Neodiprion lecontei: one gene and its partner. The protein of the gene in region 2 purifies or fractionates together with the protein of the main gene of each other region. This does not show direct contact. Links are inferred from orthologs where the notes say so. Each region holds a gene or a part of one and is shown on either strand. Other genes may lie near its edges.

Region 1 (8,510 bases), on a different chromosome or scaffold from region 2:
TTCATTTTTCTTTAATGAGCATCGATTGAAATTTGATGTACTTTTGTTCATGACGTACGGAAAAATTTTACTTAAATCATTTTACAGATTCAAGAAAGGTATAGCTCTTTCAAAAGCTCTCCACAGGTAGGGGATCCGTCTCAGTACACAGATTTTGAAATTTCAAAAGATCCGCAAGAATGGCTATATGTGGAACGACTCCTGACGCCAAAAACTGTACCGCCTGCTCCGACATCTACAGCCAAGCAGTATCCATCAGGCTGGGCGCCTCAATCTGGTCAGAAGAAATCACATTTCCATAATTAAATTCTGCAATTTTATGATATAATTACTACTCACGACATGTTTACTGGGAAACAAATTCGAAAGAATTAATTTATAAACTTGAAATACATAAATACTAATTCATTTTCTACATTTGTTCAAATGCTACTGTTAAAGCAATTCGCCAATATTGTACAATAAAAATCATACAGTCTTGTTAACTTCATTTTTCCACAGAGGATGCTCTGAAGCTACCATATTTCGTTAGCAGAACCAGGAACTACTTACAACCAGTTTACCTTCAACGATCGTTTCGAGGTATGCGCAGAATAACAATCCTTCGTAAAATTGAAGGAGATATATGGCTCCTCGAAGCTGAGCTGAAAAAACACTTGGAAGAAACCACTGGAAAATCAATTGGTACCCAAATTCACGAAGTTGCAGGCATATTAAAATTTAAAGGGGACCAAGTCATCCGCATTAAAGAATGGCTGACTACAAAAGGCCTTTAAAATTAAATAGTTAGGTAATAGATGTACACAACCTGTTGTATATTTAATCAGCTGAATAAACACTATTATTGTTATTGATAATTACATGATGCCTATTTTGGATTTAACTACTTATGGCTTTAGTAGTGTTTCACGTTATTTTTGTAGACCAATGTTTTTTTAGTATCTTCAAAAACAAAGTCAAACATGACGGGGAAATGTCAGATGAGTTTTGCAGCCATAAAAGTACTAAAGTAAAGGGCAATAATCAAAATTCATATTATTGTGCAAATATTACAGTTAGTATTTATTTCTATTAATAACAAATGAAATAGAGCATACGAATTCTTTAAATTACAAATAAAACGAGGTTGTCAATTGTTATTTGTCAACAGTAAAATTTTATGACGTATAAAATTATATTGCTTGAGGGATTCAACAATTGCCCATATTTCAAAGTAATCACATAGCAGTAAACTGGAATATGCACGTAAATAATTTTCAAGCTGGGATGTTAATAGACATATAGTACTGTAGAGGAATCGTGGAGGTTTTACATCGAAAATCTTGTAGCTGCAATTTATTTTTATTCATTCTTTATTATTTGTTTCGTGTAAATTAGTATTTTTCGGAGCTTTATTTGAAGATTTTTCCCTGGTTAAACTTGCGCCCCTGTTTGTCAGTACCAGTCCAACTGAAGTACTGCTTCACCAGTGCTTTAGTTTCATCCTTGTTTGGGTCCAATTTTTCCCATTTATACGATTCGTAATCTATCTGCCAATCGGGGCTTAGCTACAGTAAAACAAATTGTATGGAAAATTAATTTACTGTAGAAACATTCAACATTATATAAGCCACTTGGCGATTAATATAAAATCCAATATATCCCCCAAAGGATGCTAAATAAGTGACCATGGCTCACAATATCCACAACCAAATGTTTTCGACATGGTACAGAAAGTTCAATTTGTAAGAAATTCATATATACACTCACCGTAAATGCCAAATCCTGTCCACGCCATACCCAAATTCCACTGATTGTGCTGTTGTTGTCTTCTCCAAAAAGACAAACACTGGCAAAAGCAGCTTTCCGCATTTTGTCAAGTCGTTGATACATGCCACCAATGAGATTGCAAGACATGAACACCTGGACAATGTAAGATTAACGAATACAATCTTAAATATGATTATATTTTAACCGTAGGTAATTCATAATATCTCCAAAAATATTCTTGCTACATGAAAAACTGAATGAAATTCAAATCCCGGCAGAGAATTCAGTATAACGAGTTTACCTTTGTCAACTCTTCAGGGTATTTGTATTCTCCAAACCAGATGCTGTAATGTTCAGGATCAAATTCTTTCCAGAAGAAAGGAATGGAGACAGTCTCTTCTTCATTGGAGTAACAACGCTTGAAACTATCCATATCAAAAGTACCTTTAGGCATTGTGTCAAATGGATCCTTAGATTTGGGTTCAGCAGCTGCTATTTCATCAGCTAAATCTACATCTGCCTCGCGAGGTTCTTTAGGTTCCTTTTTCTGTTCCTTTCGTTTTTCCTTCTTTTCTTTCTTTGCAGATGACTAAAAATTCATAATATTTGAAAGCTGTTCAGTAGTAGATCGGTATATGACAAACTGAAGATGAACGGTTATTTAATACTTTGACTGCTAATTATTGATGATAAAATACTTCGAAATTACTACTAGCTGCTGACTAAAGCCACAAGTTCATAGTACCATGCAACATATTTTGGAATAAGGTAGTATTTTATAAATAAATGGTATTTCACATGAACAATACTGTATATCTATATTTTTTGCTCACTTTTTCTTGAACGTCAGCAAACTTCTTGGGATCATATTCAAGAGTTTTGTCAGCCAGTTTAAAAGCACCGATTACATTGATGGACTCTGGCTGATATATAACAGTTTGGAACCATCTGTTCACATTTTGATACGGCTTGCGTAAACTCGGTTCCAAAATATACTGATATAAATGCAGTAGAGTTGTAGCAACACTAATATCTGCCAAAGTAAGTCGTTCCCCAACCAAGTACGTCCTTGTTAATAGATGTGAATTCAAAGCTGTCAAAGCTTTCTTAACATCGTCCTTGGCATGTTCTATAGTCTGAAAGATTAATTACGAAAATTGCAAAATCCTTGCTAATATGTTCTCTGATACACCCAGTACCTGTACAATGTTTAAAACACTGGATAGTTTTGATATTATTTAATTTTTTTTTTTTTTTTTTTTTTTTGGGGATAAGAGAAGTAAAACGTTAAACGTATTATGCAAGCTGAAGAACATATGAAAACATTCATCGCAATAGTAAGGTAGCTAATTATTTGTTTCAATGTCAGCAATATTGGTACGCAAATGTATAAAAGAATGACAGATGCGTTTGAATATTCAGCATAGATTCATCTGCCTTCTCGTGTTACGAAACTTGAATTTAAAACATTCAGGCTCGTCTTTGAACAAAGGCGATGTGATAAATGTCAAACTAATGCCATGATGGGATTTCTCATGTTTATGCAGTTTTGCAGAACAACTTTAGCCAAATCTAAACTGTAATAAAATATCATGAACATTGAATTCTTTGTAAAATAAGAAAATTTTGTTTTACGGTGGACAAGAATTTCATACCTGTTTGTTGTATTGCATGAGGCCTAATAATGGGAAAACCCAAGCACAGCTGGCAGGAAGGATCTCCGAATCGGCAAATCCAAACCATTGCACAATTTCTGCTCTCTCAATGTCAGTTTTGCCTCTCAGCTGCTCATTGGCAACTAGAAACACAAAAATAGCACAAACTTTTGGCAAAGAGATCGGCAAAAACAATAAATGATAGAAATTAAAACCAGTTGTTTCGGAAATTGTATGTCATAAAACGTGAAAATTTCATACCTATCTGTCACCCAAAGTATATGTATAATTCAGCATCAAGCTCACAATACTGATGTGAAATTGAAGCAGAAGACAAATATTTAAATAAATATCACGTATTGAAATTAATTAAGAGGTAGAATGCATACAACGTATAATATGTTATTCTTGAATTGTAAAAATTAATTAAAAAGGAAAAAGATAAAAAAAAAAACAACAACGAATGAAAACAATAAAGAGAAAAAATATTTTTAGCTGAGGGTAAAAATGTTGATTATGCATACCATAGTAAGCAATTGCATTGCTTTCGGTGATATATTTGCCATCAGCAGTCTCGAAAGCTGGAACCTTCAACAAACATTCGGCGTTATTAAAAACACGTCGGCAGTAAAATATGCGTGACATAAAGCGGTGTCAGCATACCACGGCGATAAGACTTAAGACAGAATCCATCGATGACTGATGATATTTCAGTGATAGACGTATAAAAAAAATGTAACCAAAATAGAAATTAATCTCACCTTTCCAAGAGGAAATTTTTTCAGGAAGGCATCGCTCTTATTGGTTTCGCCGAAAATGAAATCTTCGGCAATTTTAACCTTAGCACCGGAATATTGGGCTGCGATCAGCGCCTTGTAGGCCCTGAAGTTCTCTGGGTACGTGTACAGGGTCTAAAAAAATTTACACGCCATATAAATGTATGATGTTTAATTGTCATATTGCACGCATTCACGTGACCGATTCGTCGAACAAGACGGTGATGTTTTACGAAGAATATTTCGCGTAAAAACACTTACTCCGGACGCCATTGTGCCGAGCTACAGGAAGAGGAAGTCTAGAGATCGAAAGCCGGCTCATGACGAAGCGCCTGCGCGCCTTTCTCCTTCACAGCTGTTCTTTTTTTTCACTATTTCTCGAATTGTCACCCGGCGACGGGAAATATCACAAATCTCAGTGGGTGCACGTACACATTTCTCCGCAATAAAACATATATAACTAGGTCGAACCAAAATTAGATGAAATTAGTTTGATACAAAGTATGAATGTGATCGATTTTTTTTATTCTTACAATTTCTTTATTATACGAATTATAAATTATTAAATATATTTTACATTACAGGCATCTGAAGTTCCTCGTGACTGCTAAAAATAAGACCATCTCGTTCCAACATATCATTTTAAACCGTTTTGTGACATTATAGAATAAAGTAAATTCTATGCAAGAAAAAAAAAAAAAACATTAATTTTGAGTAACGATTTTTAATTGGGTTACTACCTCACTGTTGAAAATTGGAACTTTATAAGAACATTAGGTATCAGGTTAATTTTTTTACGAATTAGGTAGACATAATAGTTTACATACTATTTATCAATGAGTCTGATTTCTGATTATCAATTAAGCTTGCCCAATCTGGGACTCTGTTTGACATGAGGTAATTTTCTTTCGTCAAACAACGTAGTGGCAAATCTGCAATACCAAATATAGCACCACCAAGCCATGCTGTGTAATTAGCTTTGCTTGGTGCCTTATGAAACTTGACTGTACTTATTTTTAATTTCTCAGAATATAAGTTACTCTTCAGTAATGTCAAAAGTTCAGATTTCAAACGTGGCAAAAATCCTTTTGCCATTGTCGTTCCTCCAATCAGCAGAATATTTTCAGCAAGCGGATGTCTCATGTCTACAGGGCACTGCAATGAACAATAAAATACAGAATAATTGGTAAGCGGTCACATTTTTGGAAAGAAATCTAATAAAATTAATCAATCTAATATTCACATTATTAGTACATAATGGTTACCTTCACTATAGCATCTAGTATCATGGTTGGTACACTCAAATTGTCATTGTCTCGCTCCCACAATAATTCGAAAGCTTTTTCACGTACTGATCCGGGTACAGTTATAGTTTTGACTCCAGGATATTTAACTGATGGAGGTGCAATTGGTGGTTCATCAGTTTGCAATTTGAGAGACCGCTCTATTGTGGTAACAAAGCAGGTTCTAACTTTGATATCTTCAATTGTTTTCTCAACGTCACTGCCGTCGTTAGGCAGGACGGTTTTCAATTCTTTCTTTATGCACCTGTAAGCAACAGATACTAATATTGAATACGATGCTCATCGTTTAAGCAGATTAGAAAAATCTGAAATATTCAATTTACTCATGGACCGCGTGTCCTGCCAGTGGCAAGGCCTGCCATGCCTTGAGAACTGGCACACCTTCGTAAATCGGAATCAACGTTGCTTCTTTATATCCAACGTCTAATACCAATGCTGTAGAAACTCCCAAAGTACTAACAGCAACCAAGTGGGAAGGTGCAAGCATCAAGGAACCAATTTCAAAGTGTCGGAAAAATACTTTAGCCAAAGTATCTCGAAATTCTGTTGGAGTCAATATAGACTCAACAATAATTACTTTTATATCTTTGGGACTGACAACAACGTGCCTATAAATTGAAACAAATTGCATCAGTACTGGTCCCATCGAGATTTTTTTTTTGAATTCGTCCAATCATATAATTTGTAAATTGTGTATAATGATTTTAAAATTACCTGAAGAAGAGTAAGTGAATGAATTCGACTAGAAGCTGATACAAGTCCTGTGAATCCTCGTAAGAGAATACCTTCCTTATTTTCCCAGATTCTGGACATTTCACTTCAGTTTTTATTATGCCGCGAGGTACCGACTCTCCAGCATATCCATATCTGGTGATGTAATGAATCTAAGTATCGTCTCAAGCTTGGTAAGAATTCACTAATTAATGATTACTTATCTTTTGTACACTCACTTAGTATATGCGCTTCCAATGTCAAAAACAACGGTTTGCTTGTCCGAAATTAACCTGATACCCTCGTACAACGACATTTTATCCTTTTTTCTTAGGTCAAAATTAATCTGATTATGACCTGAAGCAAATTTTTCCAGATCTAGATTCCATTAGAGGTTAAAAATCATAGGTTAAGCAGAACTGTCATTGTAAGCACTACATGAGAGCATAGACTAAATACAGATAGACTGCGCAGTTTTAGGCTAGATTTTCACGGGCAACGAAATGCCGCGGCAGCCAGCAGCGCGAAGCTGCCGTTAACTTTTGAGGTAAAGATTACCAAGCAGTTACCACGACGTTACTTATAATGTATTTAAGTATACGGCAACCCTCGAAATTGACCACAAGTACGACAAAACACGGTTGTAGAATCGGTGAACGATACGACACGTGTATTCGCCAAGAGAAACCTCTCTGTATTCGCTATTAAATTTGATGACCTGATTCAACAGTATCACCACGACGCTCGTCGCGCACTCCAGTGGCAGCCTGCTAAACTATATTTCGTGGCCGCATATTTGCTGAAACAACAGTCTATACTGGAGAAGTTGACCTTATATATACATTGCTTTATGCCCAACACGAAAAGTGGAAAATTTTGTCAGATACAGTGTTTTCCGAGCATTTCCGAGTGCACAGGGTAATTGTTTTGAACCAAAATGCCCAGAAAAAATAGCAAAGGTCGTGGCTGGAATAACCATCAACCACAGCAAAGACGAGATAACTCCGAAAGAAGACAATACTACGGTAAGTATTCCTTTTTTACAAATTGTTCTTTTTACAACATGGAATCATACTAACTAAGAAGAGGTTAATTTTGCTTGAAACGAGTGCGTAAGTTTTGAGTATATTTAAATATAATTTAGTATACTCTAGGGGTAAAAAAGCACGATTTTTTTAGCACACGTCAGTACCTCACTGCTCTTATCATAGACTAATGGTTCACTTGTGATTGTATGCAACCTCTGTAACACACCGACACTTCAGGATTTCTTTGAACAAGTTAGGGATACATAAGTCAGTTTTCATTAACCGTTTTGTCCTCCTTAGGTCACGATGACAGAACGTTATACTCTGATCGTGACTCCGCACCAAGGGTATCGTTTAAAACGTCAAGGATTGGCAAAGGAGGTCGAGGCGAAAGGCACAATAGGGACAGACAAAGAGACTTAGAAGCTGGACTGAGACGACACTTGGACGATGATGCCGAGATGTCTAACGAAGTCAGGCAAAACCGCGGCCGGTCTGGGGTGGCGTGGAGGGGCAATGCAAGGGGCATGGGGTAAATTTATACTTCCAGTGCACTAAATGGTTTATATTGTTATAAGTAGAAGTGTCATTTAAAATATTTGCGTTAAATTTCAGTCGGCCTAGAACAAGAAGGAATAGTCCCGTGCCTCCCAGAGGAGTCGATGATCACAGATATAGGAATTTACAGGCAGCTCCAGCCAATTGTTACAAAGTTCATATCTCAAATACCTCTACATTCAACAAAGAATATTTGCTTGACGTTCTAACTTCTTATTTAACACCTGACACATTTATTCCAATTATGGTAAGCACGCTACATAAATAGACTAGTCCTTATTCAGGGTGCTGATGAATATTTTCAGGGCGGCCCCCCAAATCGACTCCAAATAATTCAAAAACAATAATATATTTAGCATTGTTTTGAGGATATTTTTTTCTTTTTCATAGCTTCATTTTTCAATTATTTTCAATGCATTTCAACTCAAAAATTCTAAAAACCGCGACTTAGGATTAATATATCTAAAACGCGATTTTCAAAAAGAAAGATATCTTCAACAGAAGTTAATTATATATTTATTATACTTGAATTATACCCCGTTTGATTCAGATGTTACGTCCAGCATACCACTTCTCTCTATTTTTCCTACTCGCTAACTCTCCCACAGTTCTTATATGAATCTCATGGTCTCTGTCCTGTCCTCTTATCTCTACCTAGTCTCACGGTATTCACTATCGCGCTTACTCATCAAATTCTATTCCCTTCCTTCAGCATCTTCACACCTTTTC
Region 2 (8,510 bases):
TTTATCTATTAGGGCGGATCAAATCCGGGAAAAATTCGGCCGGATATCACATCCGGTGTCTCTAATACGCGGGATTCGTTCGCTTGGCGTCGGGCCAGCGATAAATCTTGAGAAAGCACGACGGCTCGACCGGGATTTCGGATTCTGTCCTAGAATCGGACAGGCAATCAAAATTGTGAAACCGAGAAATATCGGCGGGGGTCAGAGCCTCGAGGCCTTGGTCGGGCAGGCGCCAGCCTTCGACCTCGACATGCCCGTCTATTTCATTTCGGGGCTTCGGGTCTATTAACCCGGGAACATCTCGAGCACGTGCCGCGGCGTCGATTATAAAGGATGAGAGAGGTGCGATCGATTGAAAATTAAAAGTCCTTCGGTAAAAGAAACTTTGTACGAGGTGTAACGCCGGGGTCGCTGGAGACCTCAGGTCGAATTCGAAGAACTTGAAGAAAACTCTGGGACACTCTTTGAGCGTTGTATTTCAAGGCAAATTAGTCGGTTTTAGCAAAATGCAATTTTGAATGTGGAAAAAAAGACGATTCATAAATTGTGAAATATAAATCATTCCACTCCGAAAATTATAACTCGCTAAATTTTCATTACTTTGAGCTGAAAATTGACTGAGCAAGTCTCTGGACACAGATACCTGTGTGAGAAAAAAAAAATATGGTGATATCGGGCGATGAAAAAAAGGTATTTATTTGACAGACGAATTTTGTTAGTTACTATGACAAATGAAATTTTTCTCAGTGTGAGGTCGAATTTTTGGAAAAATAGTGAATTAATGATTTTTACGACTATAATTCGGACGTTTTTGACATTTTGTCATTTTGCATTTTAACGCATATTTGTGCGCATGAAAGAAACTGCACCCGGTCACAAATGAGAAGATTTGTAGCTTTTCTCTCAGCTGCAGGTACGACGCTGAAGAGAAGATTGATCTTGTTGTATAACACGAGTTTGCGCTACCTCGACAAATGTGTTTCTATGTCGAACCTGTGGCCCCAAAAATATCGCGTTCTTCACCTTCGAGATCACAGCCATTCCAACCTCGTGTTCTTCTTCGTCCGTTCAGTTAGCTTCGCATAACGTCTTTCATCCGCTCTTTCTCTTTTTTCATTGAATTCTTGCGATTTCCTGTTTATAAATCGGTCGACACTGAATGTACGGAGATAAAAAAATAAGGTTGCGTGAATTCTTTCATCTCGTAATATCTAATGCCAACTGATTAAAATCTACGTACAACGAAACCGTCAAAAGTCTCATTCTTAATGGAATCTTAATCCAATACTTGCGAGATTGGTAATTGTCGAATATAAATTCTGCGCTGTATCTTACGAAAAATTTGGTGCTCTTACAGACGCAGCGTCGGCTAGTAAGAAATAGAAACTGCGTCAACCGATAAGGAAGCTACGAAGAAGCGAAGTGCGCAGCAATGGATATTTCGAGTCGTTGAAACGGCGTGAAAAAATGAACCGTGTGCACAGGGCTTAATTTGGCTGACGATGAATCAGGTGGTTGGTTGGCCAAAAATTAATACTTTTTGCTCATTTTGTAACGAGATTGTCGTGAAACCAGTATTTGACGAACTATTGTATTCGCAGGCTCCGAAGATCTCTTCGACGATAAGAATGTTGAAAAAACTGATTGTGAAATTGTGAACAAAAGCTTAGATATCGATAATTCATTTAAGATCGCTTCAAAACAGTTAAAAATCTAGTATCCAGATTCGTTCGTGCTTAGTAGACGATAACTTATTGAATAAATTGAGTCGTCAAGTGAAATCGAACAAATCTAATAGATTTCAAACAATTTTGTAACGATCAAAAATGAACCATCGATAAAACGAAGCTCTCGTTTACGATTCCGTTAATTTCTATTCTCGTATTCCGAAAGTTAATTTCATCACAGCTTTCGAACACAATTATTCGATAAAAACTTATCGTGCAAATACTCTCGTGTGATAAAATTGATGAACAAACAATACCGATTTTTGGCGTGAGTAATTTCTAGAAACCGACGTCGACGCGTATTTGTTATAAATAATCCGCAACCCTCGTAAATTACGGACACTGTTCGCCTAAAAATGGTCCATACTCACCCTGTGATGTTCCTTTCTACGCACTAGTTACTCCGTGCGCGTGACGTTCGCAAAACGTTTGAAACTGCACGGCTTCTCGCGTGTGCGGGAAATCTTTACATGAGTGGATAAAAAAACTTGGGATGTGTGCGTGGCACGTGGTTTTCCCGCCGCTTTGAAGATCGAGATACCTTCTAAAATCGTGGCAATAGTCACACACGCCAGAATGTCATCTCCGTGGTTTATGATGAGTCAGTATAGAATTCCGCCTTGCGAAATTCACCCCACTGACTAGATCTGCGGTCTCGCCTAATTACTTCAAAATTCTACTCAGCCAGCCCAGCAACCGAGCTTGCCAACTCCGCCGCACCTGTTTCATTGTCCCGTCGACTCATCCACGCGAACACACACCGAGAAAAATTTCGTTTTTGTATTAACTAGAAAAATTCAGTAAAACGGGTATCGTTGAAAAAACACTGTTTGAATATTGTTGGAATTACGAAAAACGAGGTATTTTCGATCCTTTTTTGGTAATTGCAACGCAAAATCAGTTTGTGAGGTTTACTCTACTTTTTTAGTTAAACAAGGCTTTGACGTCAATTTATCGTTGCATAAGCGTTAAACTTTCGTAACGGTTACGAAAAAATATAGCAACAGTGATCGTAATGAGAAAGAATTGTGTTTAATATACGGTTCTCAACTATTTTCGTTCATTACAATAATCGAATAACATGAGTTCTGGGCACAAAAGTAAAGTGAGTTTTGTATCCGTAGAAAAAAAAAAAATCCAGTTATTTTGTAACGTATCTTGTCGTGAAAAAATGTAGTAAATTAAACGACCAGATTTAACATTCCAATAACCAGAAAATATATTATCGGCAATTACAATTACACCAAACACGTTACTTGTACTACATTTTCTAGTAAAATTGAAAAAAATATCCAAACCGTTGTTGCAACTATACCAACCAACTTTTCTACAATTTCCCGTTAACTGTACGAATGAAATTTTCCTCATCGTATATAAACGCAGATTTGATTTCAGCGTTATTGCATGGACGTGACGTGCGACATCCATATCTGCCAAGTTGTTACGCGTCAACGATCTAACGAGAAAACAAGAGATTAGGGAGGGAAAAATAAAAACAGGTAGAAAGAAGACGGAAAAATTGAAGGAAAAGAGAAAAAAAAATAAAAAATTCTCCAAAATTAGATCGTCCGCGGTCGTTAGGGTGCCGGAAGATTATTTTTACTCCCTTTTCTTTTTTGTTTTGTTTTTTTTTTTTGTTTTCATATTACAACGACGTCGTTGACAGCCGACGGCGACGTCTGATTCGCGTGGGTCGCGAGGATCCGGTCGACGCTCGCGGATTTTGACGTTGCGTATCGACCATCAATGAATTTTTCATCTCGGCGGACGTCGAGTAGCCGCGGACCGATCGCCCTGGAATTATTTATACAAAACACGTTGAAATTTAGAGCCACGATAATATACAGATATAATTATATGTGTATAAGCATACGTGAATACATAATATATGTATACCTATATGTATGTATATGTATATATATATATATATATATATATATATTGTTGTGTTAGGTAATGTTTCTACAGAATTCTGCTTCTCTAATTTTTTTTTGCCAACGCTCATTGTCAGCGTCTGTCGCTTATGTGCGTGTGTAGCGTCTTACGTCATCGTCGGAACACCGGCAATCGGTGACGACGCAAAAATTCTAATATTGCACATGTGTATAACATATATATATTCACACATATGACGTATACATATCCTAGGGTGGTCCGTGTTTTCGACTTTTTCGAAATTCTACCGGGAAGTCCTCTAAATTGTTTCTAAATAATTATATAGAAATATCCTCAAAAGCAGAGATATATCTATATGAAAATCTGAACACTCTCGCAAGGTTTGTGAAGTTTGCAATTGGAAATATACACCAAGTTCGATATAAAAACCGCCCCAACATATCAATAATAATAATATACTAGAGAAAAAAAGAATTCCCTCTCATTTTCATTTTTCAATGAATAAATTCTGATTCTATACATCTAATAATAACCGACATCTTCATCTATCATAATTCTTTTTCTCTTTTACGCTGATAAACAAGTCTCGAAGTTTTTGATCAATAGTATAAGCAGCAGGTAGCGGCACGTCGAAATAAAAAGCAAACCTTATCTACGAATAATGCTATTTCTTTTTTCATTAGTTACGTGGAAGAAATCAACATTTGACATCTGGCACCTAGACTCGAAATTCGTGATGACCGTTAAATTATTGAAGCACAGTCGATTTTCTAATTGTGTTATTATGCGACGCTAAACGGCTTAGCGGATCGTGATCCAGACCTTTTTTTACCCCCCCCCCCCCCCCCTTTGATCGCTTTTTTTACCCCCCGATGGTCGCCCGAGACTACATGGAAAATTCTTATATAGGTCCTCGAATTTATCACTATAATATATATAAGTTAAGCATTCGGAATGCCAGAGGTATTGCAGCCAAACTTTTTGCCAAATAATATATCTGCAATATTATACATAATAATAATAATAATAATACATTTTTTACCTCAAAACTATGACCATTGCGTTACGCAATCGGTACACTGTTAGAAAAATTTAACTACACACAATGTCCCAGCAGGTTCATTTTATATTTCAGTTATTTCTTAAATTTCTGTTGGTAAATATGACACAAATTGTTGTCATTTTCAACATTTAATTCACACGTTGTACTTTATTTTTCGAACAGTAACACATTATGAAACGGTTAAACGAACCGAAAAATTTTAGTGGACCAGCTGGAGAATTTTTTTTCCAACCGTGTAATTGCGTTCAAATTTTTTAAATTACGATCCAAGTACTTTACAGAAATCCGAATCACGGCGATGAAATTAACCTGGCACTAAATTGCGCCGCGTTATCACCGGAGAAAACTATTCTCTGAAATATGTGCCAGTTCTGGCATATCAATAAACTTTTCCCGGAGTGGGGATCGTCCGGGTTTTTCCACCCCTTTCAGCCTGCGATTAAGAATATCTATATTCGTGAAGAATTCGGTGATTACGAAACCTAGTCGAAGAATGAATCGCGATGTTTGAGGGATACGTTGTAAATTTGTAACGCACGTATCGCGGACTCGCGAAGAAGCTTGAACGTGGAAAAATACGATCAGTATCGTTCAGAACTGATATTCAGCTTGCGTCGCACCGGTTAGCTGTACGAGACACGCGGACGAATCGTGTTAAACACTTTGTTTTCTCGGATTCGATGTTGTTGCACACACGTGCGTTTGCGCCTCTCTACTTGAAACAAACCGATTTTTCAATATTTTTCCAAGCTTTGGTACAACGGTTGTGTCAGTGTTTGTTCGCGCGGAGCTTTAATCCGGCCTCTCGAGACGCAAAACAGGATTCAGGGTCGTCGTGTTGTTTTTGGACGGAACCTTCGCCCCGCGCGCCTCAATTATAGCCCGTCAACCTCTCATCGATAATTCCTTCTCGACGTATCCTCCCGCTTTTGATGCTTCGAGATCACAACGAGCGAGAGGACCAGATTTCCCCGTCTTTGTAAAACTGGCCTCCGCGCTCTTTTATCGCTTCCAAAACACGTGCGGGGCAATTTTTTTCACACATTATTCATCGCTTTTAACTGCCTCGACGGTAATATTGGAATACGTAACGAGCCGATTTGATTTCGCTGCAAGTTGGCGTGATTGGTTACAATATTGTAAAAATAAAGAAAACGAGCCATTATTATAGAGTGAAATCGAATTATTTTACCAGATTTTTAACCATTTCCAATTTGGGCTTTTGTTTCACAGAATTCTAGTATATTATATTTTTATATTTTCAAAGAGATCGTGTTTGTTGTTTACGAGTATAAAATGATTCGCCGAATACTCGATCTACAACTATCTTCTAATAAAATTGATAACAGGTACACTTAGAGAAATTTTTAGTCCTTAACTATTTTCATTTTTTACCACAATCGAAAAACATAGTTCTAGGTAGAAAATGAAAATCAGTTTTATAGCTGTTACCGGAAAGTCTAGTATCCGTTGCTATTCTTTCTCATTACGATCTCTGTTGGTATATTTTCTTCCAACTGTTGCGAAAATTTAATGCTTGTGCAATAGGGTGGTCCTCGTTTAACATGTTGACGAATTTATTCCGGATCACCCCACCAAGTCAACTATAAATAATTCTAAAACAATTCACAATTTTTTTCAGATTTTTATATCAACCGTAACCCGTGCCTGTAAGAGGAAGGATTTCCCAATTTAAAATACACGTGTTTCGGACACGTTCTTAGTATATATTTTACTGTAAGAGTAATAATGTTCGAAAAAATCCATGAATGTGAGATTCTAATAAGCATTAGTGCTACTATCTTAGAAAAAATTCACATCATCACACCAGGTAATATAGACAATTGCATTTCTTATAAATAAAAGGAAAAAGTCAAATTTCTAGGGTCTGCAATTCGTCGAGACTGGTTGGTACGATGATGTGAATTTTTTCTCAGATAGTAGCACTAATACTCACTAAATCTTCGCAATTACAGACTGATTCGAACATCGTCACTCTTACAATAAATTATATGCTGAGAATGTATCTGAAACAGGTGTATTTTAAATGGTGATATCCATCCATTTACAGGCACGGGTTAGAATTGATATAAAAATGTGAAAGAATTAGGAAATTGGTTTTGACTTATTTATAGTTGATTTGGGGGGTGGTCTGAAAAAAAATCATCAACACCCTAAGTAAGGATCACCCTATTTAACTAAAAAAGTAGAGTAAACATCGGAAACTGATTTTGCGTTGCAATTACCGAAAAAGGATCGACGATATCGCAAAATGCTCAGGCGTACCTCGTTTTTCGCAATTCCAACAATATTCAGACAGTTTTTTTTTAACGATACCTGTTTTACTCAATTTTTCTCGTTACTGTAACAAATGAAATTTTTCTCAATGTACCCATCTTCTTTCAGTAAACAATTATTTGCAGTCGGTATGATTTTTTTCCATCGTGAAGAATAGAAGATAATTTAAGATCATCAGACTCGAGCTCGTACTGGATAACGCAATTAATCTCAAACAAGACGAGGAATTTGTGCTATTCGTGCAGAAGATAATTTTCTCCTCCGCGATCGGACTCGGAACTTCATTCAGAACCCTGCAGGGTGTCCCCACATCACGTGAGGTGATTTAGATTCTTGGCATCCGCGTCGCGATTTATCTGCAGAAAATATCTAATACGCAGCTAAGCGTGAATCTGCATGAGAGTTTGAAAATTGGATCGAGTTTATGTTTAGCCGAATACCGAAAGGGGCCGGCAATAAGCGCGGAGCTTGATTGCGACAGGCAGTTTCTGCGAATGTGTTGAGTGCATCGTAAAGATGAGTCTCCCGCTTTCGTACGTCACGTAGCGATTCATTGAGGCTTTGGCTTGTTGTACCGGATTTAATTTTGTACTTCCGCCGGCCGTCCGACTCTAGGAATTTGTTTATTCGAGGGAACTCGCAGAGGATCGGCCTGTATAGGAGATTCTTGATCTCGCGCTGCACGGAGGAGCGGGAATAAGATCTTTTACACGTTAATTTCGAGTGATTCTTCGCCCTCACGGCCGGCCAATTCGACACGAAATACGGCCTTGGATACGGCCGGAATGTTTTCGGATTCCAGAATCTACATCCCGAGGCATGCAGCGAGAGGCCTGAAAAAGATTTGACGCTTAAAATTAGCCTCGAATACTCAAACGCAAGCCTTGAATAACTCGGCGCCGATGCGTTGCTCCGACTCATCCCTCTTTTTTAACTGCAGGGCAGGTCTAACTTTCTCTTAGTTTGGATTTTGAGAAAACATTTCTCTTTCTATATCCACGGATTTTTACCACCGAGTAATCTCTACTCTACACTTCTTCGCTGCTTATAATAAATGTCAAGAGAAAAAATATACCGCTGGTTAAAGTTTAGGCTTCGATCGTATAAACCTGAAATTATTTCAAGAACCGGAAGCTGAATTAACCCCGACGAGATGTCGTTGAGATAGAGAATCGTACGAGAATCGACTGAAATTGAAATTTCTTACCAAGTCTCGAAAGCAATCGGAATATAATTCAGAGCTTTCCGATTGCCACGTTTTAATCGCTCCTCAAACGATTAATCGTTAATTTCACTATTTTTCACACTCATTATGGCGAAACTTGTCACATTTTGTCCGATGAAAATAAATGAAAATAAATGTAGAAACAAATTGGATAGATTTTGGTTCTTTCGTTCGACGATTGATGGTCGAAAAATTTACATCTACCAGCCGGATAAGTCGACTTGCGGCTTTTTGAACGGAATGTCCATCAACGTAACTTACATAATTTTAAATATATCAGCACCGATATTTCAACGAGATT

The links.
Region 1: the proteins of elongation factor 1-alpha (region 2) and elongation factor 1-gamma purify together in Homo sapiens (affinity purification with mass spectrometry; 4 studies listed by BioGRID and IntAct, counting the BioPlex papers as one, with this or other methods). This does not show direct contact. The link is inferred for Neodiprion lecontei from reciprocal best matches to the Homo sapiens genes EEF1A2 and EEF1G.

What each region holds. Positions count from the first base shown.
Region 1 is NC_060265.1:25,264,049-25,272,558, forward strand, and holds elongation factor 1-gamma, read right to left. Parts: upstream 4,500-8,510; 5' UTR 4,454-4,499; coding exon 4,442-4,453; intron 4,316-4,441; coding exon 4,166-4,315; intron 3,993-4,165; coding exon 3,929-3,992; intron 3,548-3,928; coding exon 3,405-3,547; intron 2,886-3,404; coding exon 2,583-2,885; intron 2,339-2,582; coding exon 2,051-2,338; intron 1,903-2,050; coding exon 1,750-1,902; intron 1,548-1,749; coding exon 1,392-1,547; 3' UTR 1,335-1,391; downstream 1-1,334. Other genes in the region: probable 39S ribosomal protein L49, mitochondrial, read left to right, coding at 88-277, 502-776; actin-related protein 10, read right to left, coding at 5,000-5,335, 5,446-5,728, 5,808-6,092, 6,199-6,351, 6,435-6,511; nuclear RNA export factor 1, read left to right, coding at 7,133-7,220, 7,524-7,755, 7,839-8,028. UniProt on the Homo sapiens protein: Probably plays a role in anchoring the complex to other cellular components.
Region 2 is NC_060263.1:36,482,573-36,491,082, forward strand, and holds the start of elongation factor 1-alpha, read right to left. Parts: upstream 4,791-8,510; 5' UTR 4,666-4,790; intron 1-4,665. UniProt on the Homo sapiens protein: Translation elongation factor that catalyzes the GTP-dependent binding of aminoacyl-tRNA (aa-tRNA) to the A-site of ribosomes during the elongation phase of protein synthesis.